3 linked regions of the Anolis sagrei genome follow. The protein of the gene in region 1 interacts with the protein of each later gene in a pairwise test. Links are inferred from orthologs where the notes say so. Each region holds a gene or a part of one and is shown on either strand. Other genes may lie near its edges. The genes, in order: EFS, OSTF1 and SH2D3C.

Region 1 (10,594 bases):
TTTCTGTCTCTCCTTTATTCCCAGACGTTTTTGTTAACTCTTCCCAAATCTCTTGGTCAGCACATTTGCCCCAGAAAAGCCATTTGGGAAAAAGGCCTGGCTGCATGGATTGAGCCAGGCTGGGCGTAAACTCAACATGCTTGAACAGGGAATTGTGTTGCAACCGCAGGGAGGAATCGCAAGCCAAAAGAGAGACCTTTACAAGAAGTCTCCACAAATAAAAATAAAATAAAAACCATGCAAACACAACTTGGCACACCGATTCTGCAGTGTCATGAAATCCAGAAAGCCTGAACTTTCCTCTTAGATACAGAAAGCATGGCAGCTGGAAAGTCCCAATTTACAGTTCCCAGTGTCCTTTTCGGATCCCAATTTCATTCTCAGATTCAGAATAAATGGAAAGAAAATCCAGAATATTGGGTTTATTTAAAAATAATCCTGCAGGTTACTTTTTCCTCCTGAGAATTAAAGGCAATGGGCATCAAAATATCCAGATGTTTTGGCAAACACACTCCAGACCTCAAAATATGTATCTCACTGAATGCTGAGGTCTGGTTTCCAGCTTCCTCCCAATTGCAAAATGTATTGCCCAGATGCTTACTGAAATTCAAGAATTACCAATGTATTTGGAGTTTTGCCACACCAATTCCCAGCAAGTTCCAAAAAGTCAACTTTATAGAAATCACAATGCATGCAAATTCAACTTCGGTTCATTAAAAACCCTAGTTTTTTCATCTTGAAAGCTAAGTACTCAAAAGCCGCAGAATTCTAGAGAAAGTAAGAGAGGAAAACAGTTCAATCTTGCTATTTTTCCAAGCACATAGGACATAATCATCCTCTGGAACTATTCAAAAATCTTTTGCAAATTTTGAGGAATTGCATACAGTTTTGTTTCCAGTCCAGAAGAAGCACACCCAGTGATAACTCCCAAGACAAACTGTAGCAAAAAGAGATGTATTTCTAGCAGGTCTATTTCATCCAATCCAGATCCAGAAAGAGCACAGTAGTCCAAACCAATGACAAAGTCCAAAATTGCACGTGCTGCAATAAAAACATACAAAGATAAACAAATGGGGGCTGTCTCGAGAAGAACAAGAGCTGACAAACAAAGGGCTACTTGAAAATCCAGAAAAAGTGGTAGCAGAATCTAGACCAATCCAGATCAGCTGTTGGGAGCAAAATTCATACCGTCAGCTAGAAAAGAGTTTTGCATTTTGCACATTAACACTACAAAACTTTCAAAAAGTCTGCAAGGCTTTGCTCTTTCTTTGTGGGTTCTAAATAAGGGCTTGGCGAACAGATCCCCAGATGTTCCTCACTTTGGGGGAACCATAGATCTGTCAGATCCTTAGTGTTATTATCCTTGGTTCCTTTGTAGAAAGACAAAATTTAATTTCTGCTGAGGCTGGGAGGCTTGGTTTGCTGCAAGCGTTGGTGGAGGAGGGACGCTCTTCAAAGGAAAAGCAGGCCGCCCCGCTCACAAATGGAAGAGTTTAGAGCTTTTTGCATGTAAAGCTGGGATCCTGGCTGCCACACAAAGCCATAATGAAAGGGTTGGGTGCTGGGCCCCTTCTCCCAAAGTAGCAATTCCTCAGGCCCAGGAGAAAGGCGCGCCGTCCAAGTGGCACAAACCTAAACTGCTGGATGCAATGGCCAGACTCCAAAGGGAAATTATAGCTGAGGATGCTCTGGCCATATGAATGGGAGGGAGAGAGGGAGGGTGGAGGATGAGGAAAGGAGGAGAGAAAAGAGGGGGAGAAAGAAAGCCAGATGGGAGAAAAAGAAAGAGATGTAAGGAGAGGGAGAGGAAAGCATACGGCAGATGAGAAAAATGAATGAAGAGGTGCAAAGAAAGAAGAAATCAGGTGGAAGAGGAGAAAGAGAGAGAAGATGCTTAAAAAAAGGAATCAGTGAAAAGACAGAAAGATCAAGTAGAAGGAGAAAACAAGTTGAAAAGAGAGAGAAAATCAGGCAGAAATTAGAACATAATCAGATGGAAAGAGAAAATAAGCTTGGATGAGAGAAAACCAATTAAGTTTGAAAGAGAAAATCAGATAGAAGGGGAAAAGATCAAGTGGAGATTGGAGAGGGAAAGACTGGGTGGAAACCAAAGACAGAAATTAGCTGGAAAGAGAGAAAAAGTTTGAAAGACAGATATACTCTGGCAAAAAAAAAAAAGATCAGGTGAGAGAAACAATCAAGTGACCAGAAGAAACAAGTTCGAACAGGAGGGAAATCAAAGACAAAAAAAACAAGAGGAGAGAGAAAAATAAGCCTGAAAGACAAAATCAGATGGATTGAAAGAAAACCGAGTAGGATGGGAAAAGAAGTTTTGGAAGAGAGAAAGTCAAAGATAAAAACAGGTGGAGACAGAAAAGGTGTTTAAAAACGAATCAGAAGGAAAAAGAGAAAATCAAGTGGGAGGGAAAACAAGTTTGAAAAAAGAAAGAAAAACAAGGACAAAAATCAGGTGGAAAGAGAGAAAAAAATAGAAAAACAGATACACTCAGGCAAACGAAAGATCAGTAAGAGGAGAGAGAAAACTAAGTCTGAAAGAGGAAATCAGGTGGATTGAAAGAAAACCAAGTAGGAAGGGAAAATAAGTTTTGGAAGAGAGAAAGTCAAAGATAAATATAGTTGGAGACAGAAAAGGTGTTTAAAAATGAATCAGAAGGAAAGAGAAAATCAAGTGGGAGGGAAAACAAGTTTGAAAAAAGGGAGAAAACCAAGGAAAAAAATCAGGTGGAAAGAGAGAAAAGGTTTGAAAAACAGATACACTCTGTCAAACGAAAGATCAGTTGAGAGAAACTATCAAGTGACCAGAAGAAAAAAGTCTGAAGGAGAAGGAAACCAAAGACAAAAAAACCAAGAGGAGAAAGAAAAATAAGTCTGAAAGAGAGGAAATCAAGTGGAGAGAAAGAAAACCGAGGAGGAAAGGAAAAGAAGTTTTGGAAGAGAGAACAGGTGGAGAGAGAAAGTAAATCTGAAAGAAGGAACTCAAAAACACAAATCAGGTGAACAGAGAAAAATCAAGTGTGGAAGAGAGAAAATGAGGTGGGAAAGACAAAAATGAGGTGGAGACAGAAAAGGTGAATCAGGTGGAAAGAGAGAAAGATGAAGTGGAAGGAGAAAACAAGTATGAGAGAGAGAAAAAAACCAGGCAGAAGAGAGAGAGAAGTTTGGAAGGAAGAGAATCAAGGGGATGGAGAGAAAATCAGGTGGAAAGAAAGCACAATCAGGTGGAAAGAAAGAGAAAGCAAACCAGGCAGAAGGACAGGCAGAAAACCCGGTGGGAAGGAAAGAACAGAAGGCAAACTCACAAGGAAGGAATGGTAGAGAGGGAAGGAACCAGAAGAGAAAAAGAAAGCGAGCAAGGAAAAGGAGGCAGAAAAAGGCTCAAAGCATGCGCCTTGAGTTCATTGTCTTCAGTTTTCCCTCTTTGCAGTCTCCTTTCTCTCTCTCAGTTCTTTTCCAAACTGCCTTTTCTCTCTCTTCTTTGGAGCATGCTTTTTCTCTTTCTTCCTTTTTTGCCACCTGCCTTTTCTTCTCTCTTCTTTGGAGCCTGCTTTTTCTTCTTTTTTGCCACCTGCCTTCTCTTTTCTTTGGAGTCTGCTTTTTTTTGCTCTTCTTTCTTTTTTGCAGTCTTTCCCTCTTTTCCAATCTGCTTTTTTTGCTCTCTCTCTCTCTCCCTTCTCTTGCAATCTGCTTTTCCCCGCAGAGGATTACTTCTCTCTCTCGCCCATCTGCTGGGGGCTGCTGACCCTTTCCTTTTCTTCCTCTCCTGGATGGGGGGATTTTCTCCTCCTTTCTTCCGCCTTTCACCCCCCAAAGTCTTGAGCCGGCTCTTCTCCTCCTTTCAGCTCTTCCCCATTCTTTCTTCCTCCCTCCTTCTCCCCCCCTCCTCCTCCTCCCCTTTCCTGACCCAGCAAGCTCTTTCTCCTCCTTTCTTTCCCTTCTACCTTCTTTCTCTTTCTCTCTCTCGCTTGGCTTTCCGGAGAAAGGCAGAAAGAGAAGGCGAAGGAGATGGAGGGGAGGCAAGGAAAGGGCAGGCAGATGGATTTGGCTGGGAGCCCGAGGCCCCCCTCCCTCTTCGCCCAGGGCACACACGTCTATTCCTCCCCCAGCCTCCTTTTTCCCCTCCCTCTTTCCTCCTGCCTTTCAGTCCTGGGTCCTAAGAACACCCTGCTCCACTTTGCTGCAACCTTGGGAGCATCCTTTACAGCAGACATGGGCCAACTTGGGTCCTCCCTTCAGGGGTTTTGGACTTCAACTCCCACCATTCCTAACAGCTTCAGGCCCCTTCCTGAACTTCAACCTGAGGAACAGACACAGACTCAGTGGAAATCTCATCCTCAGAATCCCCATTGAAATCCACAAGCATGTGGACAACTTCATCAGAAAGGAAAAAGCCATGAAAATGAACAAAATCTGGGTACCAGTATTAAAAAAACTCTAAAATTATAACAGTACATAAAGAACAACACTCAAACACAGGTGAACTCCAGACAAGAAACAAACAGGGACAATGTATTGTCGAAGGCTTTCATGGCCGGAATCACTGGGTTGTTGTAGGTTTTTTTGGGCTATATGGCCATGTTCTAGAGACAATCCTGACGTTTCGCCTGCATCTATGGCAAGCATCCTCAGAGGTAGTGAGGTCTGTTGGAACTAGGAAAAAGGGTTTATATATCTGTGGAATGACCAGGGTGGGACAAAGGACTCTTGTCTGCTGGAGCTAGGTGTGAATGTTTCAACTGACCACCTTGATTAGCATTTGATTGCCTGGCAGTGCCTAGGGCAAACTTTTGTTGAGAGGTGATCAGATGTCCTTGTTTGTTTCCTCTCTGTTGTTGTGCTGTTCTAATTTTAGAGTTTTTTTTAATACTGGTAGCCAGATTGTGTTCATTTTCATGGTTTCCTCCTTTCTGTTGAAATTGTCCACGTGCTTGTGGATTTCAATGGCTTCTCTGTGTAGTCTGACATGGTGGTTGTTGGAGTGGTCCAGCATTTCTGTGTTCTCAAATAATATGCTGTGTCCAGGTTGGTTCATCAGGTGCTCTGCTATGGCTGACCTCTCTGGTTGAAGTAGTCTGCAGTGCCTTTCATGTTCCTTGATTCGTGTTTGGGCAATGCTGCGTTTGGTGGTCCCTATGTAGACTTGTCCACAGCTGCATGGTATACGGTAGACTCCTGCAGAAGCGAGAGGATCCCTCTTGTCCCTTGCTGAACGTAGCATTTGTTGGATTTTCTTGGTGGGTCTGTAGATAGTTTGTATGTTGTGTTTCCTCATCAGCTTCCCTATGCGGTCAGTGGTTCCCTTGATGTATGGCAAGAACACTTTTCCTCTGGGTGGATCTTCGTCTTTATTCTCATGGCTTGTTCTCGGTCTTGCAGCTCTTCTGAAGTCTGAGGTGGAGTCTCCATTGGCCTGGAGAGCCCAGTTGAGGTGGTTCAGTTCATCTTGAAGGAGGTGGGCTTCGCAGATTCTTTCTGCATGGTCTGCCAAGGCTTTAACAGGGACAGCTAATCACCTCTCAACAAATGATTCCCTCAAGCAGTAACACGCCACATCCAAACACTGTCAGGCCATCAAATGCTAATCAAGATGGCCAAATGAAACATTCACACCCAGCTCCAACAGACAAGAGTTCTTTCTCCCACCCTGGACTTTCCACAGATATATAAACTCAATTTTCCTAGTTTCCAACAGACTTCACAACCTCCAAGGATGCCTGCCATAGATGCAGGTGAAACGTCAGGAGAGAATGCTTCTAGAACATAGCCATATAGACCAAAAAACCTGTAACAACCCAGCGATTCCAGCCATGAAAGCCTTTGACAATACGCCATATTATCCATTCCTGGAGTGCATCTAAACTAAAGAATTAATGCATTAGGTTACTGCTTTAACTAACATGGCTCAATGCTAGGGAATACTGGGAGTTGCTGTTTGATGCCTCACCAAACTACAACTCCCACTATTTGATTTCATTGAGCCATGGCTGATAAAGCTACGGTGTCAAACTGCATTCAGTTCTGATACCTTACTAGAAGCAGAATTTCATCTTCATTTCCTAAGTAAGGAATATGAGCTTAGGTGAAGCACTGGTTTGAGAATTGGACTATGTTTCTGGAAACCAGGGATCAATCTCTGCTTGGCCATGAAGATGCACTGGGTGAGCTTAGGCAGGTCACACTCTCTCAGCCTCAGAAAAAGGCCATGGCAAATCTTTACGCAACAAATCTTGCCACAAAAACACTGTGATAGGATTGCCTTAGAGTTACTAAAAGGTGAAACAGTTTAAAGTCACACCATCAATAATAACATGGGCCAAAAGCAGGGCTGACTCAAGGCATTTTGCTGCTTGAAACAATGGCACTCACACCTTTGATACCTTGCTTATAAGCAAATTGGACTGGCAATCTGGAGCGTCATACAATTCTGTTACTTTTTTGGAATACAATTCTTAGGATTGCCCCATCAACATGACCAACAAAGCATTGTGGGAGATGTATAAGGTAACTTACTCAAATGGTGTAGTGTAATTATGCCACTGTATTAAAAGATAAAGGTTTCCTCTGATATTAAGTCTAGTTATATCCGGCTCTGTGGGGTGGTGCTCATTTCCATTCCTAAGCCGAAGAGCCAGCGTTGTCCGTAGATGCCTCCAAGGTCATGTGGCCAGCATGACTGCATGAAGTGCCATTACCTTCCCGCAGAAGCGGTACATATTGAGATACTCACACTTGCATGTTTTCGAACTGCTAGGTTGGCAGAAGCTGGGCCTAACAATGAGAGCTCACCCTGCTCCCCGGATTCAAACCACCAACCTTTCGGTCAGCAAATTCAGCAGCTCAGTGGTTTAACCCGCTGCACCACCACTGTGTTATGTCACAAATTCCCAATTTAGAGAAACTGCTGTGAATTTTGATTTATTTTGCAGAGTTTTCATGCCTGAAGCATTTCTTCAATGATGTTGAATTTGTTACAGTAAGTCGTAGCAGGATCAAGTGTGTGTTAAAGAAAAACCTTATGATGTTAATTATTATGTGCAGCTGGAAAGTGTGGTGCTCTGCTCATGCTCTGAGAATGTCTTCTGATATCTTTGGTAATGATGGCACTCTACCCATGCTCAAAGAGGGCCTGCCAGCATTTTTGGAAAGGGTGGCCCTCTGCCCATGCTCAGAAAAAGTCGACCGGCATCTTTGGAATGGTTGGTAATCTGTCCATGCTCAGAAAAGGTGTGCAGGCATCTTTGGAAAGAGTAATATTCTATACATGCTCAGAGCAGGCCTTCTGGCATATTTGGAAGTGGTGGCACTCTGCTCATGCTCAGAGGTCTGCTGGCATTTTTGGAAAAGGTGGAACTTTGTCTATGCTCAGAGAAGGTCTTCTGGCATCTTTAGAAGTCTCGGGACTCTTCTCATGCTCAGAGGAGGTCTTCTGGCATCTTTGGAAATGGTGGCACTCTGTCTATACCCATAGAAGGTTTCCTGGCATCTTTGGAAAGAGTGGTAATCTGTCCAGTCTCAGAGAAGGTTTGCAGGCATCTTTGAAAAGAGTGGCACTCTGTCCATGCTCAGAGAAGGCCTTCTGGCATCTTTGGAAGTCTTGACACTATGCTCATGCTCAGAGGATGCATACTGGTATCTTTGGAAAGAGTGGTATTCTGTCCATGCTCAGAAAAGGACGTCTGTCATCTTTGGAAGTTATGACACACTGCTCATGCTCATATTCTGGTATCTTTGGAAAGAGTAGCACTCTGCCCATGCTCAGAGAAGGCCTTCTGGCATCTTTGGAAGTCTTGACACTTTGCTCATGCTCAGAGGAGGCTTTCAGGCATCTTTGGAAGTCTTGACACTCTGCTCATGCTCAGTGGACATATACTGGTATCTTTGAAAGACTGGCACTCTGTGGCATCTTTGGAAGTCTTGACACTCTGCTCATGCTCATATTCTGGTATCTTTGGAAAGAATGGCACTCTGTCCATGCTCAGAAAAGATCTACCGGCATCTTTGGAAAGAGTGGCACTTTGCTCATGCTCAGAGAAGGCCTTCTGGCACCTTTGGAAGTCTTAACACTCTGCTCATGCTCATATTCTGGTATCTTTGGAAAGAGTAGTACTCTGCCCATGCTCTGAGAAGGCTTTCTGGCATCTTTGGAAGTCTTGACACTCTGCTCATGCTCAGTGGACATATACTGGTATCTTTGGAAAGAGTGGCACTCTGTGGCATCTTTGGAAACCTTGACACTCTGCTCATGCTCATATTCTGATATCTTTGGAAAAAGTGGCACTCTGCTCACGCTCAGAAAAGATCTACCGGCATCTTTGTAAAGAGTGGCACTCTGCTCATGCTCAGAGGAGGCTTTCAGGCATCTTTGGATATGATAGCATTTTGCTCATGCTCAGAGGTATGTTGGCATCCTTGGACAGGGTGACACTCTGCCCATGCTCAGAGAAGGTTTGCAGGCATCTTTACTTCATGTATTCGAGGATGGAAATTCCAGAAGAGGATTGAGTCTGGGCAGGTTGCTTACCCTTTTGAAAGAACAGAGAGGACACTGTTTCCGGCATCCAAATCTGTTATCTTGCCCACCTCCTCCCCTTCCAGGAATCCCTATTCTTAGGATTCCCGGTCTGCATCCTTTGCTATGGTGACAGCTCATGTTGTCAAAAGGCTGCCCAGGTATTTTTCCCTCGCAGCGGTTTTTTCCTTCATGCCTCAACCGCAGGGCAAACCCTGCCAGAGTGCCATGCAAATGGCCCACGATAAGCAAGGCATGGAAAGCCAGCCGGGATTTCTCTCCGAAACAAAACACACGTTCCTGGGAGACCATGGCAGCAGCACAACTGAGGGCCCAATGCCACACATTGTCTTGCAGTGGGGGCGTTCTCTCTCTCCCCACACCCCCAGCTCCACGTTTTTCTCCAGAAATGCCTCAGAATACAGGGGATGACTAAGTGCATATTTCCATCCAATCCGATGGAAATACAAAATACTATACCGTAATATAGAGCAGGTCTGGCCCAACTTGGGCCTTCTAGGTGTTTTGGACTTCAACTCCCACCATTCCTAACAGCCTCAGGTCCTTTTCATTCACTGGACCACATTTGGCACAAATACCTGATACCCCCCAATCTGAATATTGGTAGGGTTGAGGGGGGGGGGGGAATTGATTTTGTCATTTGGGGATTGTAGTTGCTGGGATTTATAGTTCACCTACAATTGGAGCCTCCGGTGGCGCAGTGGGTTAAAGCACTGAGCTGCTAAACTTGTTGACTGAAAGGTTGCAGGTTCGAATCCGGGGAGCGGCATAAGCTTGCGCTGTCAGCCCCAGCTTCTGCCAACCTAGCAGTTCGAAAATATGCAAATGTGAGTAGATCAATAGGTACCGCTCCGGTGGGAAGGTAACGCTGCTCCATACAGTCATGCTGGCCACATATAGGTGTCTATGGACAATGCTGGCTCTTTGACCTAGAAATAGAGATGAGCACCAATCCCCGGAGTCAGACACGACTGGACTTAATGTCAGGGGAAAACCTTTACCTTTCCCTAATTTCAAACATTGAAGGGCATATGGAATAGCAGTTTTGGCTTCTCCCTGATGACCTTGGAGGTGTCTACCTACGGACAACGCTGGCTCTTTGGCTTAGAAATGAGATGAGCACCACATCCCAGAGTCGGACATGACTGGACTTAATGTCAGGGGACTACCTTTACCTTTACCTACAATCAAAGAGCATTCCGAACTCCACCAAAGATAGAATTGAACCAGACTTGGCACACACAACTCCCTTGACCAACAGAAAATACTGGGAGGGTTTGGTGGGCATTGACCTTGAGTTTTGGAGTTGTAGTTCACCTACATCCAGAGAGCACTGTGGACTCAAACAATGATGGATCGGGACCAAACTTGGCACAAATACGCAATACGCCCAAACGTGAACACTGGTGGAGTTTGGGAAAAATAGACCTTGACATTTGGGAGCTGTAGTTGCTGGGATTTATAATTCACGTACAATCAAAGAACATTCTGAACCCCATCAACGATAGAATTGGGCCAAACTTCCCACACAGAACGCCCATGATCAACAGAAAATACTGTGTTTTCTGATGGTCTTTGGCGACCCCTCTGTCACCTCTCATGACCTGCGACCCCCAGATTGAGAGGTGCTGGTCTAAAGCACCTCTCCATTCTGAGTCTAATGGAGCCTGAGGTCTAAGAAAAATGGAGCCTGAGCTCTCAGCAGTCCCAGATTTGGTCACATGGTCTGTACTCCCTCCCACAACATAGAGTTAAGGGCAAACTGCATATCAATACACACATATACAATATAGTAAGCAATCTGAATTATATACATAACAAATAATTAGTATAGGAGGCTTGTAGAAGGTTGCTGTTTCTAACACTGTCACAACTCCCATCCACATTACTCATGATGTAGTTGTGGAGGAAACAAACAGAGCCTGGGCAAGGGGACCCCCCTTTGTAATTCAGTCAAAGTGTCCAAAGAAACTTCCTTGCCCGCCAGACAAACTCAGAGAGCCGGCAGAGGAAATCCCAACTTGTTATTGCCCATTCAAACGTTGA
Region 2 (11,475 bases), on another chromosome or scaffold:
TCAGTGAGGTAAATGAACACCTCTCCCCCCCCCCCCTTTTTTTTTTTTTTTTAGCTAAAAGGTGAGTTCTACTTCTGATTCTCATCCAAAGAGCTGCTGCAATTGGTTCATTTCTTCCAACCAGGTAAGGGGAAAAAAATATTCCTCTTGATCAATTTGGTACGAGGGGAGCCTTGTGACTATGTGGGAACTTTTTTGCGGTTCCTGAAGGTCCATGTGGAGACTGGATTTCTTTAATCCACATTCTGATCCTTCTTGACCTCATTTCCGAAGATTTTCTCTTTCACAAATAATCGGCTCCATCCCTATATCACCCCATGTTTTTAGTTTTTAGCTTTAGTATTTTATTCTGTACATTCGGCCCATTCACTGTCACTGTCACAATCACTGCGTTATGATTGATTTTAATTTTAAATTGTTTGTTGTATTTTTATGTTTCATGTAATTTATCACGTTATTGTGTGTGTTTTGACATCATTTATTGTATTGTGTTGTTGGGCTTGGCCTCATGTAAGCCGCTCCGAGTCCCCATCAGGGAGATGGTGGCGGGGTATAAATAAAGTTGATTATTATTATTATTATTATTATTATTATTATTACTATTACTATTACTATTAGTATGTGGCTGAATAGAAGCAGCCTGAGAGCCTACTGGATTCAGAATGCTGGATAAAGGATATAAATTGAAGCCTCTGGTGGTTCAGTGGGTTAAACTGCTGAGCTGCTGAACTTGCTGACCAAAAGGTCAGCGGGTTGAATCTGGGGAGCTGGGTGAATTTTCACTGTTAGCCCCAGCTTCTGCCAACTTAGCAGTTCAAAAACATGCAAATGTGAATAGAGCAATATGTTTGGCAGAAAGGTAACTGCATTCCTTAGAAATGGAGATGAGTACTACCCCCCAGAGTTAGACATGACAGAATTAATGTCAAGCAGTAACCTTTACCTTTAAACTGGACATACACAGTTGTTTTTGAGGTTACAGTGTTCCCTCATTTATCGCGGGAGTTATGTTTCAGGACCACCCGCAAAAAGTGAAAATCTGCAAGATAGGGATGCGCTATATATATCTATATATATCGCATTCTGAGGGTGAGGTAGAAGCAAGGAGAGATTTAAAGGAACCGCACACTTCTTTTTTTCTTTTTTCTTTGTTAGCTATAAGGGGCTATAAGGCCGTGCCTCTCTCTCTTTTTTTATGATTGGCTGTCTCTCCCCCGAGGGGGAGGGTGAAACCGCCTTCCACACTCCATCGTTGCCAGGAGGCAAAAACCCGCAAAACAGTGAGTCCACAAAAAAGCGAACCACAAAGTAGCGAGGGAACACTACTTTGTGTTATATTGTGCTACAGGGATTTAAAAAACAAAAAACAAAAAACAAACAAAGGCTGAAACACTGCACAAAATTTAGATATTTTTGGTTGTGGCCCCTCTAATGGCATCACCTGACTCAGTCCACACACTCTTTATGCTACACATGGCTCCACTCTGAACAACAAGGATGCCAGGCAACCGCCCATGAGACAGTGGGTTGTATTCTAAATCAAACATATTAGATGTTGAGGCAAGGAGAGGTAAAGTCCAGCTTTTGGGGTGTCAACTGTTAGACTGTAGCTCCTATTAGATATCAGTTAGACCTTAAGGTGCACCTTAAGCCTCAGAAGACGTATCCAGGGTGGTGTCTGTTGGTATCTACGGATGCATCTCCATTGAAGAATGAATGCAGTTTGACACCACTTTGACTGCCATGGTGGTGGAAGCCGCGGTGGTGCAATGGGTTAACCCAGGCATGGGCAAATTTCGGCCCTCCAGGTGTTGTGGACTTCCACTCCCACAATTCTTAACAGCCTAATGGCTGCTAGGAATTGTAGGAGTTGGGAGTCCAAAACACCTGGAGGACCCTAGTTTGCCCATGCTGCTAGGAATTGTGGGAGTTGAAATCTGGCTGAACTGCTGACCTGAAGACGAGCTCCTGTCTGTCAGCTCCAGCTTCCCATGCGAGGACCTGAGAGAAGCCTCCCACAGGATGGTAACACATCTGGGCGTCCCCTGAGCAACATCTCTGCTGACATGAAAAGCAACTTGCAGTTTCTCAAGTCGCTTATGATATGATTTTGAAAATCTGCCATTGCTTGATGCTAAGAGATGGCAGTAGTTTTACAGTGATTAGCCTTCTCTGCCGAAGAGTGCTTGTACTTCATCAAACTGCAACTCCCAGGATTCCATAGCATGGAGCCATGGCTGTTAACGGTGGCATTAAACTGCATTAATCCTACAGTTTTGATCAGGCATGGGGACACTTGGTCCTCCAGGTGTTTTGGACTCCAACTCCCACAATTCCTAACAGCTGGTTTTTCCGGGCTGTATGGCTATGTTCCAGAAGCATTCTCACCTGACATTTCGCCTGCATCTATGGCAGGCATCCTCAGAGGTTGTGAGGTCTGTTGGAAACTAAGGAAATTGGGTTTATATATCTGTGGAATGTCCAGGGTGGGAGATAGAACTCTTGTCTGATTGAGACAACTGTGAATGTTGCAATTGGCCATCTTGATTCGCACTGAATAGCTTTGCAACTTCAAAGCCTGGCTGCTTCCTGCCTGGGTGAATCCCAACTTTTGGGAGTTAGAGTCCAAAACACCTGGAGGGCCCACGTTTGCCCATGCCTGGTTTAGATACACCCTAAGGCTTTGGCACCTTCAAAGATGCACCAAAACAAATTCTCCCAAGTCACTGCTGCCACCAACCGCAGCAGCGTTTGTAAGAAGATCCCATTGGATCGATCACCCTCTCTCTCAGCTCTGCGGGCGGAAGGCGAAGAAAGGGAGCATTTGGTGCAGTCTGCACCGCACTTCCTGCTCCGCGATCGATCCCTGCCGCTGCCGGCCACACCCCGGATCAGGGAGGAAGGCTTCGGGTTACCTCTCTCTATCTCTCTTGTCTCTCTCTTTCAATGGGCGCGTCTACACTGTCCACTGAATACAGCCTGGCACTACTTTGACTGCCTTGGCTCAGTGCTACGGAATCTTGGGAGTTGTAGTTTACCAAGGCCTCTTCAGCCTTCTCTGCCAAACTACAGATCCCATGATTCCATAGCATTGAGCCATGGCAGTTAAAGGGAATGTCAAACAAACTGCGTTCATTCTACAGTGTTATCAGCTCCAAGTCTCTTAAAAACAGACTTGGGACAAGAGTAAATCAAGTTAGATTTTTTTTAGATTCTAGGAAACAGGAGCCATGCTGTATTATCGAAGACTTTCATGGCCGGAATCACTGAGTTGCTGTGTTTTCCGGGCTGTATGGCCATGGCCCAGAAGCATTCTCTTCTGACGTTTCGCCTACATCTGTGGAAGGCTCAGAGGCTGTGAGGTCTGTTGGAAACTAAGAAAATTGGGTTTGTATATCTCTGCAATGTCCAGGGTGGGAGAAATAACTCTTGTCTGTTTGAGGCAGGTGTGAATGTTGTAATTGGCCACCTTGATTAGCATTTAATGGCCTAGCAGTTTCAAGGTCTGGCTTCTTCCTGCCTGGGGGAATCCTTTGTTGGGAGGTGATTAGCTGGCCCTGATTGTTTCTTATTTCAATAAAAATGACAATAACTGAAAGGCACTGCAGACTGATTGAACCAGAGAAGCCAACCATAGCAGAACACTTGATGAACCAACCTGGACACAACATAGTATCTGAGAACACTGAATTGCTGAACCACTGTAACAACCACCATGTCAGGCCACACAGAGAAGCCACTGAAATCCACAAGCATGAGGACAATTTCAACAGAAAAGAGGACACCATGAATATGAACAAAATCTGGCTACCGGTATTTAAAAAAACTCTAAAATAGGACAGTAAATAAAGAACACTAAGAAAATAGGGGAATTCCATACAGGAAACAATCAAGGCCAGTTAACACCTCCCAACAAAGGATTCCCCCAGGCAAGAAGCGGCCAGGCTTTGAAGCTGCAAGGCTATTCAGTGCTAATCAAAGTGGCCAGTTGCAACATCCACAGTAGCCTCAATCAGGCAAGAGTTCTTTCTCCCACCCTGGACATTCCAAAGAGATACAAACCTGGTTTCCAACAGACCTCACAACCTCTGAGGATGCCTGACATAGATGCAGGCGAAACGTCAGGAGAGAATGCTTCTGGGACATAGCCATACAGCCCTCAAAACTCACAACAACCCAGGAGCTACGCTGCCACCGTGGTTGGAGTCGAGAGTGCTGGGTGCGAATCCTGGCTCAGCAAGTCACACTCTCTCAGCCCCGGGCTCTGTGCTAATTCGCGTGCCAAGCGTATGCTGACGCTGCAGGGAGTGGAGGGAAAGGAAGGCAATGCTTTTCCGAAGGGGGAAAAGTGATCCACGTGTCAAGGTGGATCTTCCCCTTCTTCTCACGCTCTCCTGCGAGTCTTCCGTCAAGGTTGAAACGAATGCTGAACTGCCACACTGCCCAAGGCTATGGAATCCTGGGAGTTGTAGTCCCACAAGGTCTCCAGCCTTCTCTGCCCAAGAGTGCTGGTGCCTCACTACAACTCCGAGGAAGTGATGCCAAACTGCATTCGTTCCACAGTGTAGATCTCCCCCTTTCCTGGCTCAAAAGCTTAGATCTCCCCCCTTTACCTGGTTTGGCCGGTTTAGGCGGCGGCTTGGACATAGCTGGGTCGGATCGGCGAGCCTTCCAAGCCTTTTGGATGTGGGTCGATCGAGCTTGCTTCCTCCTGCAGGGATCGCCTCGCCCACCGCCCCGAAAGGCTCACAAGTTACTTTTCGCGAAGATGAGGAAGTGGGAAGCGTCGCCACTGCGAAGCAGATGCTGCTCGCTGCGCCCCCAGTGGCCGCTCTTGGGCACCGCAGGCATTGGGAAAGACTCTTGCCCAGGGCAGCTCTCCCGACTTAGCGCCCAGCCAATCCCGAATAGGGGGCGTGGCGACACCCTCGGACTTGAGAGACTTGGCCTATGGGAGTGGGTGTATTTACATATGCTCCGCCCCTTTCCTGGGAGTGGGAGACCGATGGTGCTTCTGTAACGGGTTAGAGGAGGAAGGGGCGGGGCTTGAATATACCCTATTTGCATAGAACGTCCTCGCATCGTGCCTTGCTTCTCTATTGGGGTGTAGGAGAAAGGGGCGGAGCTTATATGTAGCAAATTTGCATAGGACTGCCCACCTCCCCTTTCCTTGGTGGGCGGGGTCGACGGTGCTTTCTCTAACGGGGTTGGAGAAGAAGGGGGCGTGGCTTGTGAGTGACAGGCAGAGGAGACCCTGGTGTCTTTATTGTGGTTTTTTGCACTTTTTGTTCGAAGAAGGAAGGTAAGTGGGTGCAGTTCTTGGATTGCTTTGATGTTTGCTGGTTGCATAAGAGCTTTGCTCTAAAAGATAATGGTAATATTTTGAAATAGGTCGTGTAGATGGACTAGGGATTCATCTACACTCTAGAATTAATGCAGTTTAATCCCAGTTTAATTGCTATGGCTCAATTCTGGAGCTCTGGGGGTTTTATTTTTGCAAGGCTCTTCAACATCCCTGACAAAGCACTCTAAGCCCCACCAATTTACAACTCCCAGGATTCCATAGCATTGAACTATGTCAGATAAAATGGTGTCAAACTGCATTAATTCTCTAGTTTATATAGGTTCTAGAGTATAGATATCTATAGTATAGATAGCCCCTGGTGGCACAGTGGGTTAAACTGCTGAGCTGCTAAATTTGTTGACCGAAAGGTTGCAGGTTCGAATGCGGGGAGCGGCGTGAGCTTCCGCTGTCAGCCCCAGCTTCTGCCAACCTAGCAGTTTGAAAACATGCAAATGTGAGTAGATAGATAGGTATCGCTCCAGCAGGAAGGTAACGGTGCTCCAGGCAGTCATGCTGGCCACATGACCTTGGTGGTGTCTACGGACAACGCCAGCTCTTCGGCTTAGGAGATGAGCACCAACCCCCAGAGCCGGACACGACTGGACTTAATGTCAGGGGAAAACCTTTACCTTTACCTATAGTATAGATACACCCTAATAACTAGTGAATCTACTGTGGCCTTTTTAAAAGTGTGGTAAGGATTGGGCTACCTCATGATGTTGAATTGCCACAGGACCCTACACAAGAAAGCTATAATTGTAATTTGTAACAAAGCATTGTCTTAAATTGTGTATCAATATAATTTGGTCATAACTCAGTGGAAGTCATAAATGGCATTTTTATTCTATTTATTTTGTGATGGTCCTTTTGAAATATTTCATAGTTAAAGAAGAATCAAACTCAATGTCTATAACAGACAAAGGTACAGAATATAACTCCAGGGTGTCTTTTCATTGTATGTAATGGCAAAACCATCCCTGAGTATTCCTTGCCAAAGAAAGCTCTGTGAAATTAATAGGATCGTCATAAGTCAAGAGGGGACTTGAAGGCACATACACACAATGTCCCTCTTTAGTGTTTGCTAGTTTGTCTTGGCTTTCTGCTCTGGTGACTGAAACTTTTAAATTGCACCAGAATTTACGTAACAGAGTCCAGAGGCTTTTATCTTTTGGTTGATAAATAGCTCAGCAGCAACTCTTTCACTAGTGCAGTGGTTCTCAACCTGTGGGTCCCCAGATGTTTTGGCCTTCAGCTCCCAGAAATCCTAACATCTGGTAAACTGGCTGGTATTTCTGGGAGTTGTAGGCCAAAACACCTGGGGACCCACAGGTTGAGAACCACTGCCCTAGTGAATTACATTTATATTTCTCATTTCGGTTATATTAATATTTTTCATTTGCACTAATAGTTTGCATCTGTATCTAAACAACACGTTCCACATTGTAGAATTAATGCAGTTTGACATTACTTGAACTGCTATGACTCAATGCTATGGAATCACGGGGATTGTAGTTTGCTGAGGTCCCAGCACTCTTTGCCAGAGAAAGCTAAAGATCTTGTGAAAGTACAATTTCCATGACTCCATTGCATTGAACCATGGCAGTTCATGTGGGGGCAAACTGCATTAATCATACAGTGTAGATACACTCACAGATGTGGGCCCTGAAATGTTTAGTAATAAAATGTATGATATCACAACAAGTACATGTGCTGCATACCTTGTCCCTAGTATACTCTATGTCTGTGATACTTCAATAACTATTGGGGTGTGTGTGCCATATTTTATGTGTAATGCTTGTTTAAATAATGCCTTACTGAGCTGCTTCTATTTTGTAATCCGGGCAACCTACAATGTAAAATGGTTTGTATATTTCGATTTCTGATGGTGAACCTCCTATAAATGAAGGCTTTGTGTTAGTTTAAGATTCGGCAGACATGGCACAGGGTGGGAGAAAAAGGCTTTTGCAAATACACGGGCAACAAAGAAACTTGCAAATAGATATAACCTTCCCAGCAAATATTTACAAGTGGGATTTTTGGATATGAATTACATATTATGTCTAATTTTACTTTACTTTTGCAGTCTATCAAAAATAGATTGTGGAAAAAAAATATTTGTTCCTAACACACAATCCTCTCAATTTAATTTTTTAGATTAAAAAGGAACTATGAAAATCTTGGTCATTGGACTTGGAGGGTGAGTGTGAACATAATCTACAATACTGCTTTCCTTTATATGCTAAGTTTTTATCAATAATTGAATGTGGGGTATATTTTTTCCCATCTTTTTTCACTTTATTTTTTCAACCTACATCATATCCTGTATCTCTTATCCTCAGACATGGATAAGAGCTACCAGACTGCTATCTGGCCTCTCTTATCTATGTCCGATTTATTTATATAGATTTTTCCATAAAGCGTTTTATTCCAAAAGATTCCAAAGTGTATTGTTGAAAGCTTTCATGGCTGGAATCACTGGGTTGTTGTTGGTTTTTTTGGGCTATATGGCCATGTTCTAGAGGCATTATCTCCTGATCTTTCACCTGCATCTATGGCAGGCATCTTCAGAGGTTGTGAGGTCAGACCTCAGGAGAGAATGCCTCTAGAACAGTGATTCTCAACCTGGGGTCTGACCTCACAACCTCTGAAGATTCTCAACCTGGGGTCCCCAGATGTTTTTGGCCTTCAACTCCCCGAAATCCTAACAGCTGGTAAACTGGCTGGGATTTCTGGGAGTTGTAGGTCAAAAACATCTGGGGACCCCAGATTGAGAACCACTGCTCTAGAACATGGCCATATAGCCCAAAAAAACCTACAACAACCCAGAAATTCCAAAGTGATTTACAATGTGCCACAAAACAAAAGAAAATCAAGCAAGGAAACCATAAAATAATGTAAGAATGCTGGGGTCTGACCCTATCAGGCAATACGGTAATAGGATTCTGGATTACCAATAGGAAATAAAACCATATCCATGAAAGCATAACATACATTGTTTATTGACTGTTCATGTTTGGCATATGAAAATAAGATACACATGATAAACCCAGCAAAAAAATGTATATGTGCCTGAATTTATGAGCACTCAAACCCTGATGGTTACTGTAGTACTGGTTCTCAAGATTCACCAGGATGTTGTTCCAGGTGCCAAATTATGTGGGTAGACAGTGCAATTGCCTTCCTCAGAGAAAAATCGAATACTCTTGCTAAAGTCTTATGTAGATCTCACACTATGCGCTTAATGCAGACTAGGAAATAAATTGCTTTTCAAGGGAGGGCAAGGCATCATTATCATGGACACGAAAAGGCCAATAATAGTAGCATATTTTATTGAATCCCTTATAGTCACAGGCAGACTTAGGCCCAATCTACAATGTTGTTTCAAACCGGTATTGAAGAAACTGGTTTCACTGTGCAGATGATTCCATAGGAAAGCCTGGAACTAGTTTGAGGTCCAGATGGTGATAATGAAGGAGCAGCAATTTAGTGGCATGAGCACTTCAAATGCACAAGCTTAGGAGTCCCCTCAACGGCTCAATGTTACTATGCAAGGAAATACTATGAGGAAACCATAAGTTTGATTCTTACTACAAAGGCTGTTACATAAACCACAGAGCACTGATGCACATTAAGGACTTTATTTTGCATGCTTTTGTGGGAGTTAGTTGCCTGGCTGCCGCAGTTGGAAGCTATCTTCGAACTGCATTAAATTGTCATGTATGTGGGACAATTGGAGATCAGGAAAATGGAGATCAGGAAAATGTCTGAACAAACAAGTCTTCAAGTTGCATGATTGGCAATGTCTATTGGACACTTCCCTTGTATTAGTGGAAGAATTCGTATAATGAGGCCACAACAGAAAAGGCCTCCATTGTATTGTAACTAAAAGAATGTCACTTGCCTGTGATACATTAAATAAAATTTTCCCACCACTCCAAAGCAGAGAAACTGTGATAGTATATGTGGAAGAAGGTGGCCCCTCAGCTAACCTTCTCCTGAGCCTTTTAGAGCCTTATAAACAAAGAGTTGTCTCTTGAATTTGACTAAGTAGCCAGTATAGGGTTTTTAGTATACTGTAGTATTGATTACCTATTGTATAATGCACTAGTTATAGCCTTCAAGGTAAGCGCATGGGTAGCCCTGTATTATGTTATGATAGTAATCCAATCTTGAGGTTGGCAGTGTATGAATGATATCTGACAGCTTGAACCTGTCTAGGAATGGTTATAGCAGCATACCAGCAAAGCACCAAGGCTATTTTATTGGAGGATAGTGATTTCACCCATCCTAATTCAATGCAACACATTAGCTACACTTCAATGTGCCCAACCAATGTTTAACATTATATCTCTCATCAAATCGAGCTAGCAGGTCATTTGGCAAAAACTTGATGTAGGCCACATCTGACCTCCACAACAGAGAAGAACTTGTTCCTTAGACATAACCATCCTGTATTTATCATGAAATTAGATACTAAAAATTATCTGAGGCAGGATTTATATTCCTACAATAAATATGCCCTTGGATTTGACAATATGTGCTATTTGAAAAGAATAAAACTTCCTGGTCAAAGTGTGCCTGACAGAGTACAATGTAGATAGTGCTTTCTCATACAAAAGAGTGGTTTAAAATCATGAACAATGTTACTAATGCAGGCTATCAGAACCTTGCAGTTGCTATTATGTATTGTACAGTATAATCTGCTATGTTAGCATTCTTTCTTCAAATATATAATGCAGTGTAACAAATGGAGGGAAGACAACTCTGGCAAGAAAACTCAAGGACCAGTTTCCAAACTGCACAATCATCTCTCAAGATGACTTTTTCAAGGTAATGAAATCAAGAGATTAATTCACAAGCTGCCATCTTTTTGTTCAGCTCGCAAGTAAAATATCTGCCACCAGGTTTGATCTCCATGCCAATCTTTAACCCACAATTAAAAGAAGGGAAGATAATCATTCAGCCCTCTATCAAACTTGCATCCCTGTGGCTTGACTCAGCTGTAGTCAAGTTAAGTCAGGTCTTAAGATGAAGGCCTGAAGCAGGAACCTACAATCTGAAAGCCGCCTTGGCCACAGTTCCAAACTGAGGCATGGAGCTCATGCATGTGGAGGGGATGTCCAAGCCTTGGATTTTTCAAATATGTCAATAGGGAAATGGGACCAGGAACTACGGCTTTGTTCCTTCCAACCCCATTGATTCTAATCATGTGGAACTAGGATATATTAGTTAGAGGTAATGCAGGGGCAGATGTCTTCAGAATGGCTGGAGGCCATTTTCAACCTCGCCAAGAGCTCAGCGGGTTATGCCTAATCCTACAAAGGATAACAATTTATGCCATAACAACAAGAAGGTCATCTTACAGACCAAACAGCCTTTAGAAAAGTAGAGAGTGGACTTCCAATTTTATTTGTAGTATTTGTAGTAATCTCATTCCACTATTTGTATTATCACACTAGAGAATGAATCTACTTTAAATCCAGTTTCTGCCTCCTGCAGAATTCTGGGGTATGTAGTTTAATGAGGCTGTTAAAGCCCCCTCCCTAAACTACAAACCCCAGAATTATGCAGGAGGAGAAACTGAATTTAAAGTGGATTTGTTCTCTAGTGTGATGAAGTATTCTTTCATGGAATAGAGAGAGCACCATTGGCCACTTTTTATATAAGTGTGCCTTCAAGTCAAAGTCTTCAGCAAGTAATTCTCAAGAAAAGGTTTTGCCAGTTCCTTCCTCTGAAGTATTGCTTATGGCACTTGCGATTCCTTGATAATCTTCCATTCAAGTGCTAATTAGGGCTTACTCGGTTTAACTTCCAAGCTCTGGTGCCTTCAGGTGTACTCTTCCTTTCCTAAAGGGTCAGAGCCTCAGTAGTTTCTGTCTTTCTATTCCTGGTCTAAAGAATCATACAGAAGAGCCTTCTTCAGTTTTGATGGGCTATTAAGGTTATACTTCTGTATTTTCCCCCTTGGTTTCTTGCACTGTCTGTCATTACATCCTTGATCTTTATCATCCTCATGATAATGTAGCATTTTTAAAAAGCTATCTACACTTTCAGGATGTAGAGGATTTTAAGTTAATTGGTATACCATTATTGGACATTATTGGACAGACCACCATATGCTAAGGACTGGA
Region 3 (10,804 bases), on another chromosome or scaffold:
CCTTTCTATGTCTCTGCATCTCTAAATCAAACATGGATTGGACTGACTTTCATGTAAAGAATGATTTCAAGCAGAAGATTCGCTGACATTCCCACAAATAAGGTACTGTAAAGCACCTTAATAATTGGGCCTCATGATGGCCACTCCATTTCCAGTGCTGGAGGACATTGGACATTGAGGTGACAAAGTGCTCTGATCGCTGTTAGCAAGCCGCAAGCACCACATGGCCGATGCAACTCATCTATTTCCATTATGGAGGCCCATCAAGCCTCCCAACCTCCTTGGGTTGGTTCTTTGGCTTGAATAGGGATGTGTTATTGCCCCAACCTTATTTTCCATCGTCATTGCTATGATACGTCATCTTGTTGATGGGAAGCTTCCCACCGGAGTGGAAATCATCTATCGGACAGATGGCAAGCTGTTTAACCTCAGCAAACAGAAAGCCAAAACCAAGCTTACAATACATCTGTTATAGAACTCCAGTATGCTGATGACAACGTCATCTGTGCACATTCAGAAGAAGAACTACAAGCCACTCTGAACACCTTTGCAGAAGCATACGAGAAGCTTGGCCTGTCATTTAACAGTGAGAAAACCAAAGTGCTTTTCCATCAGTCACCAGCCAACCCCTCTCCAATGCCAGAAATACAGCTTAATGATGTAACATTAGAAATGTTGACAATTTCCGCTCCCTTGGCAGCCACCTCTCCACAAAAGTCAACATTGACACTGAAATTCAACACCGCCTGAGCTCTGCGAGTGCAGCATTTTTCCAAATGAAGCAGAGAGTGTTTGAGGACCGAGACATCCATAGGGAGACCAAGGTGTTTGTTTATAAAGCTATTGTCCTCCCAACACTGCTATACGCCTGCGAAACATGGAGTATCTACAGACGTCACATGCAACTCCTGGAACAATTCCATCAGAGCTGCCTTCTGAAAATCCTGAAAATCTCTTGGGAAGACAAGCGGACAAATGTCAGCATGCTGGAAGAAGAAAAGACTACCAGCATTGAAACGATGGTCCTCCGCCATCAACTCCGCTGGGCTGGCCATGTTGTCCGGATGCCCGACCACCGTCTCCCAAAGCAGTTGCTCTATTCCGAACTCAAGAACGGAAAATGGAATGTTGGTGGGCAGGAAAAGAGATTGAAAGATGGGCTCAAAGCCAACCTTAAAAACTCTGGCATAGACACTGAGAACTGGGAAGCCCTGGCCCTTGAGCACTCCAGCTGGAGGTCAGCTGTGACCAGCAGTGCTGCAGAATTTGAAGAGGCATGCATGGAGGGTGAAAGAGAGAAACGTGCCAAGAGGAAGGCGCATCAAGCCAACCCCAACCGGGACCGCCTTCCACCTGGAAACCAATGCCCTCACTGTGGGAGAAGATGCAGATCAAGAATAGGGCTCCACAGTCACTTACGGACCCACCACCAGGATATTACACTTGGGGGACCATCATCCTTGGACTGCGAGGGACCGCCTAAGTTACTAAGTAAGTAAGTAAGTGAATGAGTGAGTAAGGTTCTTTGGCTCACAGTGACACCATCATTGCAAAACCAGGTATCATTTCTGAGAAGGGGATTTAGGTCACTAGAGGAACCTGTCTTAGATGAGGGTCCAGCTTCATTCTGGATGGCAATTTCACAAGTAGAATGGGTCCTATCTGAGAAGGAAGGTCCTTCTTGTCCATGCAACACTCACCTGTCAAAAGCCTATGAGACCTAGAAGCATAGAGTTGGAAGAGACCTCGTGGGCCATCCAGTCCAACCCATTTTGCCAAGAAGCAGGAATATTGCATTCAAAGCACCCCTGACATTTGGCCATCCAGGCTCTGATTTCAAAGAAGGAGCTTCCACCACACTCTGGGACAGAGAGTTCCATTGCTGAACAGCTCTCACAGTCAGAAAGTTCTTCCACGTGTTCAAGTGGAAACTCCTTTCTTGTAGTTTAAAGCCATTGCTCCATTGCGTCGTAGTCTCCATCGCAGCAGAAAACAAGCTTGGTCCCTCCTCCCTATGACTTCCTTTCACATAATTAAACATATCTCCTCTAAGCCTTCTCTTCTTCAGGCTAAACATGTCCAGCTTTTTAAGCAGCTCCTCATAGGGCTTGTTTTCCAGACCCTTGATCATTTTAGTTGCCCTCCTCTGGACACATTCCAGCTTGTCAACATCTCCATTCAATTGTGGTACCCAGAATTGGACACGGTATTCCAGATGTAGTCTAACTATGGCAGAATAGAGAATGGGTAGCATGACTTCTCTGAATTTGGACACTATAAAGGTCAAAATCCAGTTGGCTTTTTTTGCCGCCACATCACATTGTTGGCTCATGTTCCTTTCTCCCCCCTCGGACTCCAAGATCTCTCGAGCAAGGCGTCCCACATTCTGTATCTTTGCATTTCGTTTTTCCTGCCAAAGTGGAGTATCTTGCATTTGTCACTGTTGAACTTCATTGAGTTAGTTTTGGCCCATCTCTTTAATCTGTTAAGATCGTTTTGAATTCTGCTCCTATCTTCTGGAGTATTGGCTCTTCCTCTCAATTTGGTGTCATCTGCAAACTTGATGATCATGCCTTCTAATCCTTCATCTAAGTCATGAATAGAGATCCTGAACAGGACCGGGCCTAGGACAAAACCCTGCTGATGGCACTCCGCTCGTCACTTCTTTCCAGGGTGAAGAGGAAGCACTGGGGATAATCACCCTCTTAGTTCGTTTGCTTAACCCGGTGTTTTTTAACTCAAGGGTCGGAACCCCGGGGGGGGGGGGGGGTCGCAAGAGGGTGTCAGAGGGGTTGCCAAAAACCATCAGAAAATACAGTATTTTATGTTGGTCATGGGGGTTCTATGTGGGTTTGGCCCAATTCAGTCATTGGTGGGTTCAGGATGCTCTTTGATTGTAGGTGAACTATAAATCCCAGCCACTACAACTCCCAAATACCAAGGTCTATTTCCCCCAAACTCCACCAGTGTTCATATTTGGGCATACTGAGTATCCATGTCAAGTTTGGTCCAGATCCATCCTTGTTTGAATCCATAATGCTCTCTGGATGTAGGTGAACTACAACTCCAAAATTTAAGATCAATGCCCACCCACCAAACTCTTCCAGTATTTTCTGTTGGTTATATTTGGGCATATCCATGTCAAATTTGGTCCAGATCCATCCTTGTTTGAATCCACAATGCTCTCTGGATGTAGGTGAACTACAACTCCAAAATTCAAAGTCAATGCCCACCCACCAAACTCTTCCAGTATTTTCTGTTGGTCATATTTGGGCATATCCATGTCAAGTTTGGTCCAGATCCATCCTTGTTTGAATCCACAATGCTCTCTGGATGTAGGTGAACTACAACTCCAAAATTTAAGATCAATGCCCACCCACCAAACTTTTCCAGTATTTTCTGTTGGTCATGGGAGTTCTGTGTGCCAAGTTTGGTTCAACTCCATCCTTGGTGGAGTTCAGAATGCTCTTTAATTGTAGGTGAAGTTTAAATCCCAGCAACTACAACTCCCAAATGACAAAATGCACACACATCCCACACCGAATCCACCAGTATTCAAATTTGGATGTAGCGGGTATTTGTGCCAAATTTAGTCTAATGAATGAAGATACATATTGCATATCAGATATTTACCTTACGATTCATAACAGTAGCAAAATTACAGTTATGAAGTAGCAACAAAAATGATGTTATGGTTGGGGGTCACCACCACATGAGGAACTGTATTAAGGGGTCGCGGTATTAGGAAGGTTGAGAAATACTGTACAGATCCACCTAACCATAGTTTTGCCTAGCCCACATTTGCCTTGTTTGTTTGCCAGAAAAGACCTTGGCAACTTCATCACAGTCCAGGAGAGACTTTCCTCTTTCACACAGATGCCATTACTCTATAGAGATGTAATGCCGACCTATGTTCCAGCCAAGGCCAGAGTGAGCAAATCGGTGTCCTGCGGTGTGTTCACTTACTTTTGAAGCCTCCTCCCCTCTTCTGGCTTCCTTCCATGGTTTGGGTTCCAACGAAGGAGAAGAAATGTGCACCAGGCTTACAACTTTCATCAAGCCCTCTTGGCACCGAGCCTGCCTTCCTTTCCCACCCTCTCCCCCCGCCCTTTCTCGCTTTCTGTTTTGCTCACATTTCCTCTGCACTTGCACAACCCTACTCTCTGCGTTTGCTTTGATCCTTTTTTTAAAAAAAGAGAGAATGAAACTCAAGAAAGGAGAGGGAAAAAAAAGGCACACGATGCTTCTGCGTGCCCTTTCCCAACACTTGCTCCTTTGGTTGTAAGACGTCAGTGGTCCATCGCGGATTCTGCCAAAATTATTTTTCTTTTAATGGGGGATTCTGGGAGCTAAAACCCCAAAATTAAAAAAAATCTCAAACTCCTGGTTCATTTACCTCCTTTCCCTCCTCCTCCTCCTCCTCTTCTTCTTCCTACATCCCGGTTACATCCCAAATAGATTACTGCAATGTACTTATCCCGAACAGTAATCCCGAATAGATTATTGCAACTATTACTGCTCTGGTTACATTCCGAATAGATTACTGCAATGCACTCTACGTGGGGTTGCCTTTGAAGACTGTTCAGAGACTTCAACTAGTCCAACGGGCAGCAGCCAGATTACTCACCGGAGCGCCATACAGGGAGCATACCACCCCCCGGCTGCGTCAGCTCCACTGGCTGCCGGTCCACCTCCAAGCACAATTCAAAGTGCTGGTCTTGGCCTATAAAACCCTATATGGCTCCGGCCCAGCTTACTTATCCGAACGTATCTCTCTCTACGTTCCACCTCGTAATTTAAGATCTACTGGGGAGGCCCTGCTTTCGGTCCCACCGGGGTCACAAACGCATCTGGTGGGGACGAGGGACAGGGCCTTCTCAGTGGCGGCCCCTCGCTTGTGGAATTCGCTCCCCAATGAAATTAGATCGGCGTCCTCCCTCCTCACTTTTAGGAAAAAACTAAAGTTGTGGTTTTGGAGTCAGGCTTTCAGCTAGTGGTCTTAGCAGCACTTAGACACTGAACTGGACCACGGGATTATGACAATAGTAAACGGATATGTGATTTTGATTAGGCGACTACATTAGTATATGACTATGTGATTTTAATTAATGTTATTGTTAATTTTTTATGTATTTGATTTTATGTTGTTGTATTGATATTATGGCATTGAACTGTTGCCCATGTCAGCTGCCCTGAGTCCCCCCTCGGGGGTGAGAAGGGCGGGGTAGAAACGATGTAAATAAATAAATAAATAAATAATAATTCTTAGTGTTTGTCCCATCAATTTGCAGGGTCTGCTTGTTTGCTTCTTGTTCTCCACTTGTTCCTATCGGTCACTTCTCTCATTTTGAGTCTTGCTTCAACCATGTTGTTGTAGATCAGCCACCAGAGGCTGATGGCTTAACTGATGGTTTAGAGAGGATTGTGCGCTTCCCTGTGGCACAAAGTGATGGGCTCTCAAGTCTGGGAAATTCAAGTCTGGGGAATGATGGTTCTCTTTGTGAGAAATCTGGCTTCGAAAGTGCAAAGCCTCAAGGTATTCAGAGTAGTCAAAAGTAGCAACAGCAGCTAAGGAATCGAGTGAAGAGTTGAGTAAAGAGGGCTACCATTAGAACCCAGGTGTAGTTACAGAGATCAACAAAGGTCTTTGTTTATAAATCAGAGCTGAAAATTCAGAGAGATTACGTGGGAAAGCTGTGAAGGAAATTCACAGGAAACTGAATTATTTCATGGGTGTCTATTAAGCAACAAGTTGTTTACCTTAAGGTCAGTTCAGGCAACTACATTAGTGAGAAACTAAGCCTGAGTTCTTTTGTTCTTGGATCAAATCAAGCCTTGATTTTGGATTTGATATTCTGAAAGTTTTCTATGTTCCTGTTCATGTACTCCTTATCAAGTTTTACTAGTTATATCTTCTTGATTGTGGACTTATGTTGTATCTATGAATTATTTCATGGGTGTCTATTACATACGTTGTTTATCTTAAGTTCAGGCAATGCTGCGTTAGAGTGAGAAGCTAAGCCTGAGTTCTCTTGTTCCTGGTTCAAGTCAAGTGTTAATTTTGGAAGTTTTCTATGTTCCTGTTCATGGGCTCTCAAGTCTGGGAAATTCAGGTCTGAGAAATGATGGTTCTCTCGGTGAGAAAACTGACTCGGAAGGTGCAGGGCCTCAAGGGCAGTCAGGGGAGCCAGAAGAAGCAGCAGCAAATAAGGAATCAAGTAAAGATCTGAGTGATAAGGAGGGTTCCCATGGGAATCCACGTATAGCTACAGAGATCAACAAAAGTCTGTGTTTATAAATTAGAGACAAAAATAGATTGTGTCGTTCAGAGAGATTACATGAGAAAGTTCTGAAGGAAATTCACAGGAACCAACAATTTCATGGGTGTCTATTAAACAACAAGTTGTTTACCTTAAAGTCAGTTCAGGCAACACTACGTTAGAGTGAGAAGCTAAGCCTGAGTTCTCTTGTGCATACTGTATTTTTTTTACTTCCTTTTTCCAAATTGAATTACATACAGTGAGTCCTCTGTATCTGCAGTCCCCAGATCTACAGATTCAACCGTCAATTTCATATAGACAATATACGAAATTATTAGTAATTAGTAAGTTGTATCTAATTCATAAATTTTGGATATGCCAGGCATGGGTAAACTTTGACCTTCCTACCAGATGTATTGGAATTCCCACAATTCCTAACAGCCCCAGGCCCCTTCCTGTTCTCCCTCAGTAGCTTAAGTTGGAGGATTGATTGCCCCTAAAGAAAGACACATAACGGACCCATGACTGTCATTTCAAGCTCTGTGGAAACTAAATAGCCCCTTGAAACTGGACAGGGTCCGCCAGCCTTCAAATGGAGCCATTGTTAGGCCTCTTATCTGATGAGAGATCCTACAAAAAAAGGGAGAAAACATCAGCCTGGGGAGAAAGGAAGCAAGGAAGCGACTCAGCCAAAGAGCAGAGTGGAGCACCAGGAGCACAAAGGTCACTCCGCCCCCAGTGCCCCTGCGGGATGGAACAGGAGCTGTGCAACCATATCTTAAGGGCACTTCCCTTTTCCCCATGGAAAAATACATCCCAAGGCATGTGTCCTTGTTGTTGTGTACCATCATGCTGACTTCTGCTTAAGGTGGCCTTCTCATAGGGATCCCTTTGCCATTACTTATTCAAGGAGTGTGTTGTCGTAACCGAAGGCTTCTATGGCCAGAAGCACTGGTTTGCTGTGAGTTTTTTTGGCTGCATGTTTCGGAAAACCAGAATCTCCAGAATGTCCAGGGTGGGAGAAAGAACTCTTGTCTCTTGGAGGCAATTGCCCACCTTGATTAGCATTGAATGGCCTCGCAGCTTCAAAGCTTGGCTGGTTGCTGCCTGGGGGATCCTTTGTTGTGAGGTGTTAACTGGCCCTGATTGTTTAATATCAGGAATTTCCCTGACATGAAACTAATATCGAGCAAGAATTTAGGGGTCTTTGCCAGGAGACAGAGACCAGTCAGACCCACCAAAGAGAGTCCGTTCACCCTGGCAAGACAGATAGAAGCACCCAAAGAATTTTCCCTGATTTTTCCCGATAAAAGTTTCACCAAATTGAAGAAAATGCCATCAAATTGCCCTTATTTTGTTCCAGTTGGTACGGATGTCAAGCTGCAATCCCTTGCCAAAAACTGACATGTTTTGCAAGACAGAACAGTACATTTTTATAGAGAAACAGAGCTGTCAAATTCAAACTTCCCGCCCCCGTCCCCCTTAGCCGGCTTCACGCTGATTGGTTGGAGTCATCAGCTAGAGGGGAGGTGCGGCCGGCTTAGGCATGCCTCAGCCAATGAGAAAGCCAGCGCCGCTTCGGCCTCTCAGCCAATGGGTAGAAGGGAGGCAGGTAACAGGAAAAAAAATGAAGAAATGTCCTTTTGATTGGTTTAAATTATTAATGTTTGCAAAATAGGGGATTATGAGATCATTCCAACCTGGTGTCCTTGGTAAAACTATGAATTCCTTGGTTTTGAACCATCTTTTACAGAGTCCTGGGGGAGGGGGAGGTCACCTCCAATATCAAAACCAGCCAAGCTTTCAAGCTGCAAGGCCATTAAATGCTAATCAAGGTGGTCAATGACAACATTACCCATTTGCTTCAAGCAGACAAGAGCTCCTTCTCCCACCCTGGACATTATTCCACAGATCTATAAACCCCACTTGTCTAGTTTCCAACAGATCTCACAACCTCTGAGGATGCCTGCCATAGATGTGGGTGAAATGTCAGGAGAGAGTGCTTCTGGAACATGGCCAGACAGCCTGGAAAACTCACCACAACCCAGTGGTTCCAGCCATGAAAGCCTTCGACAACACAACAAAGGAGTTAATTTCCAATTTACTAACATCAGTGAGGCTGATAATAGCGAAAAATTGGAAATAAAAACATGATTTTCAGATAGAATAATAATAATAACAATAATAATAGAAGACTGGTACAAAGAAGTGTGGAATATAGCAATAAACGATAAATTGACATAAGACTAAAAAATAATTTGGAAATTAAATGTTTTTTGGAATATATGGGGGAAATTGATAGCACATGTCTGTGCTGAAGGGCAAGGAAGCAAACCTGCAGTGTAAACAATGATGTTTTGGAAATAATATATGAAGCGGTTAGGTCCAGGAGGGGACAGCACCCATCTTTATTTAATTCAAGGAATTTATGTTGTGGATAATATGTTAAAATTGGTAAAAACGTTGAAGCTCAACTCAACTGTGCGAAAACATAATAAAAGTTATGAAAAAAAAAACTAGAAAGACAAACAGAGGATGCCTCCAGGCAACAACAGCCAATAAATACCCTCACTGATTGACTCAGCAACTGCAAGGCCACTCAATACTAATTGCAACATTCACCAGCTATTGTCGAAGGCTTCCATGGCTGGAATCAGTGGGTTGTTGTAGGTTTTTCGGGCTATATGGCCATGTTCTAGATGCATTCTCTCCTGACGTTTCGCCTGCATCTATGGCAGGCACCCTCTGAGGTTGTGAGGTCTGTTGGAACGAGGAAATTTGGGTGGACATTCCACAGATATATAAACTCAAATTTCCTAGTTCCAACAGACTTCACAACCTCTGAGGGTGCCTGCCATAGATGCAGGCAAAACGTCAGGAGAGAATGCTTCTAGAACATGGTCATATAGCCCGAAAAACCTACAACAACCCATTCACCAGCTAACTCCTCCCAACAAAGGATATCCCCAGGCGGCAACCAGTCTGGGTTAGAAGCTGCAAGGCCATTAAATGCTAATCAAGACAGCCAATTGCAACATTCACACTTGCCACAGACCAGGGTTCTTTCTCCCACCCTGGGCACTATTCCCGAAGGAGACTCAATCCCGAAGGGGACTCAGAGCGGTTTACAAGATATATCTATATAAATAAAAATGTAATGTTTGTTTGTGGGATTAACAGAACTCAAAACCACTGGACGAATTGCTGCCAAATTTGGCCACAAGACACCTAATAACCCAAGGAGTGACCATTACTCAAAAAATTAATTTTGTCATTTGGGAGTTGTCATTGCTGGGATTTATAGTTCACCTACAATCAAAGATCATTCTGAACTCCACCAATGATGGAATTGAACCAAACTTGGCACCCAGAACTCCCATGACTAACATGGGCATTGATCTTGAGTTTGGGAGTTGTAGTTCACCTACATCCAGACAGCACCGTGGATTCAAACAATGATAGATCTGGAACAAACTTGGCACGAATATTCCATATGCACAAATATGAACACAGATGGAGTTTGGGAAAATAGAGCTTGACATTTGGGAATTGTAGATACTGGGATTTATAGTTTACCTACATCAAAGAGCATTGTGATCCCCACTAATGACAAAATTGGGGCAAACTTCCTGTGCGTGTGTGTGTATATATATATATATATATATATACACACACACACACACACGCACAGGAAGTTTGCCCCAATTTTGTCATATATATACACGCACGCAACACACATATATACATACATACACACACAATATTATTAGCATACATACTCTCCACTTGCCTCACTGACAAAAGAACCTCAGAGGATGCCACTGACCACAGATGCAGGTGAAACGTCAGGAGAGAATGCTGCTGGAAGATGGGCACACGTTCCAAAAAAAATCACAGCAGCCCAATCATAATAATTACTCATTTCAAACTTCCTGCCTTTACTGTAAGCCAGGCTTTCCCTGTGTCTTCGATCCCTCTTTCCAAAGCTTTGTTTTCCACTGAGTCTAATGAAGGCCTCAAGCGGACTTGCAACCTTGTACTCTACTTTTCCCTCAAAGTGGTATCAATATTCCTATATAAACATATGTACTATTATTATTAGTTAGGATTGCTTTCTGTCATTGCAATATTATTGTTGTTGTTTTCTACCATTGCAATATTGTTGTTGTTACTTGGGAGAGCCAGACAGGCCAGAGGAGAAGCAGCTGCAATCCTTCCCGCTCATTTCGCCGCCCACTTCCGGACTCTCGCGCAAGCCCCGCCCCCTTCTCGAACTACGACTCCCGGCGTGCATGGCGGCGGCGGCGGAAGCGGATTACCGGAAGTGGCGTCCCGGATGGAGGCGAGGCCGGGCGGAAGTGCAGCCGCACGCCCCTCAGACGGAAGCCGCCGGCAGCCAGAAGAGGTCGGGGTCGCCAGTTCTGCCATGGCCAAGCAGTACGACACGGTGGAGTGTCCCTTCTGCGATGAGGTCTCCAAGTACGAGAAGCTGGCCAAGATCGGGCAAGGCACCTTCGGGTGAGCACCCTCCCCTTCCTTCCTTC

The links.
Region 2: the proteins of EFS (region 1) and OSTF1 interact in binary tests that used the Homo sapiens proteins (3 or more experiments, as listed by UniProt). The two-hybrid records come from large-scale screens. The link is inferred for Anolis sagrei from reciprocal best matches to the Homo sapiens genes EFS and OSTF1.
Region 3: the proteins of EFS (region 1) and SH2D3C interact in a two-hybrid assay, tested with the Homo sapiens proteins (2 studies listed by BioGRID and IntAct). The two-hybrid records come from large-scale screens. The link is inferred for Anolis sagrei from reciprocal best matches to the Homo sapiens genes EFS and SH2D3C.

What each region holds. Positions count from the first base shown.
Region 1 is NC_090026.1:9,003,102-9,013,695, reverse strand, and holds the start of EFS (embryonal Fyn-associated substrate), read right to left. Parts: upstream 4,127-10,594; 5' UTR 3,960-4,126; intron 3,953-3,959; exon of another isoform or gene 885-3,952; intron 879-884; exon of another isoform or gene 1-878. UniProt on the Homo sapiens protein: Docking protein which plays a central coordinating role for tyrosine-kinase-based signaling related to cell adhesion. May serve as an activator of SRC and a downstream effector. Interacts with the SH3 domain of FYN and with CRK, SRC, and YES.
Region 2 is NC_090022.1:224,606,979-224,618,453, reverse strand, and holds the start of OSTF1 (osteoclast-stimulating factor 1), read right to left. Parts: upstream 4,879-11,475; 5' UTR 4,648-4,878; coding exon 4,614-4,647; intron 1-4,613. Other genes in the region: NMRK1 (nicotinamide riboside kinase 1), read left to right, coding at 7,513-7,541, 10,084-10,174.
Region 3 is NC_090031.1:16,137,653-16,148,456, reverse strand, and holds the start of SH2D3C (SH2 domain-containing protein 3C), read right to left. Parts: upstream 4,097-10,804; 5' UTR 4,004-4,096; coding exon 3,967-4,003; intron 1-3,966. Other genes in the region: CDK9 (cyclin-dependent kinase 9), read left to right, coding at 10,597-10,778. UniProt on the Homo sapiens protein: Acts as an adapter protein that mediates cell signaling pathways involved in cellular functions such as cell adhesion and migration, tissue organization, and the regulation of the immune response.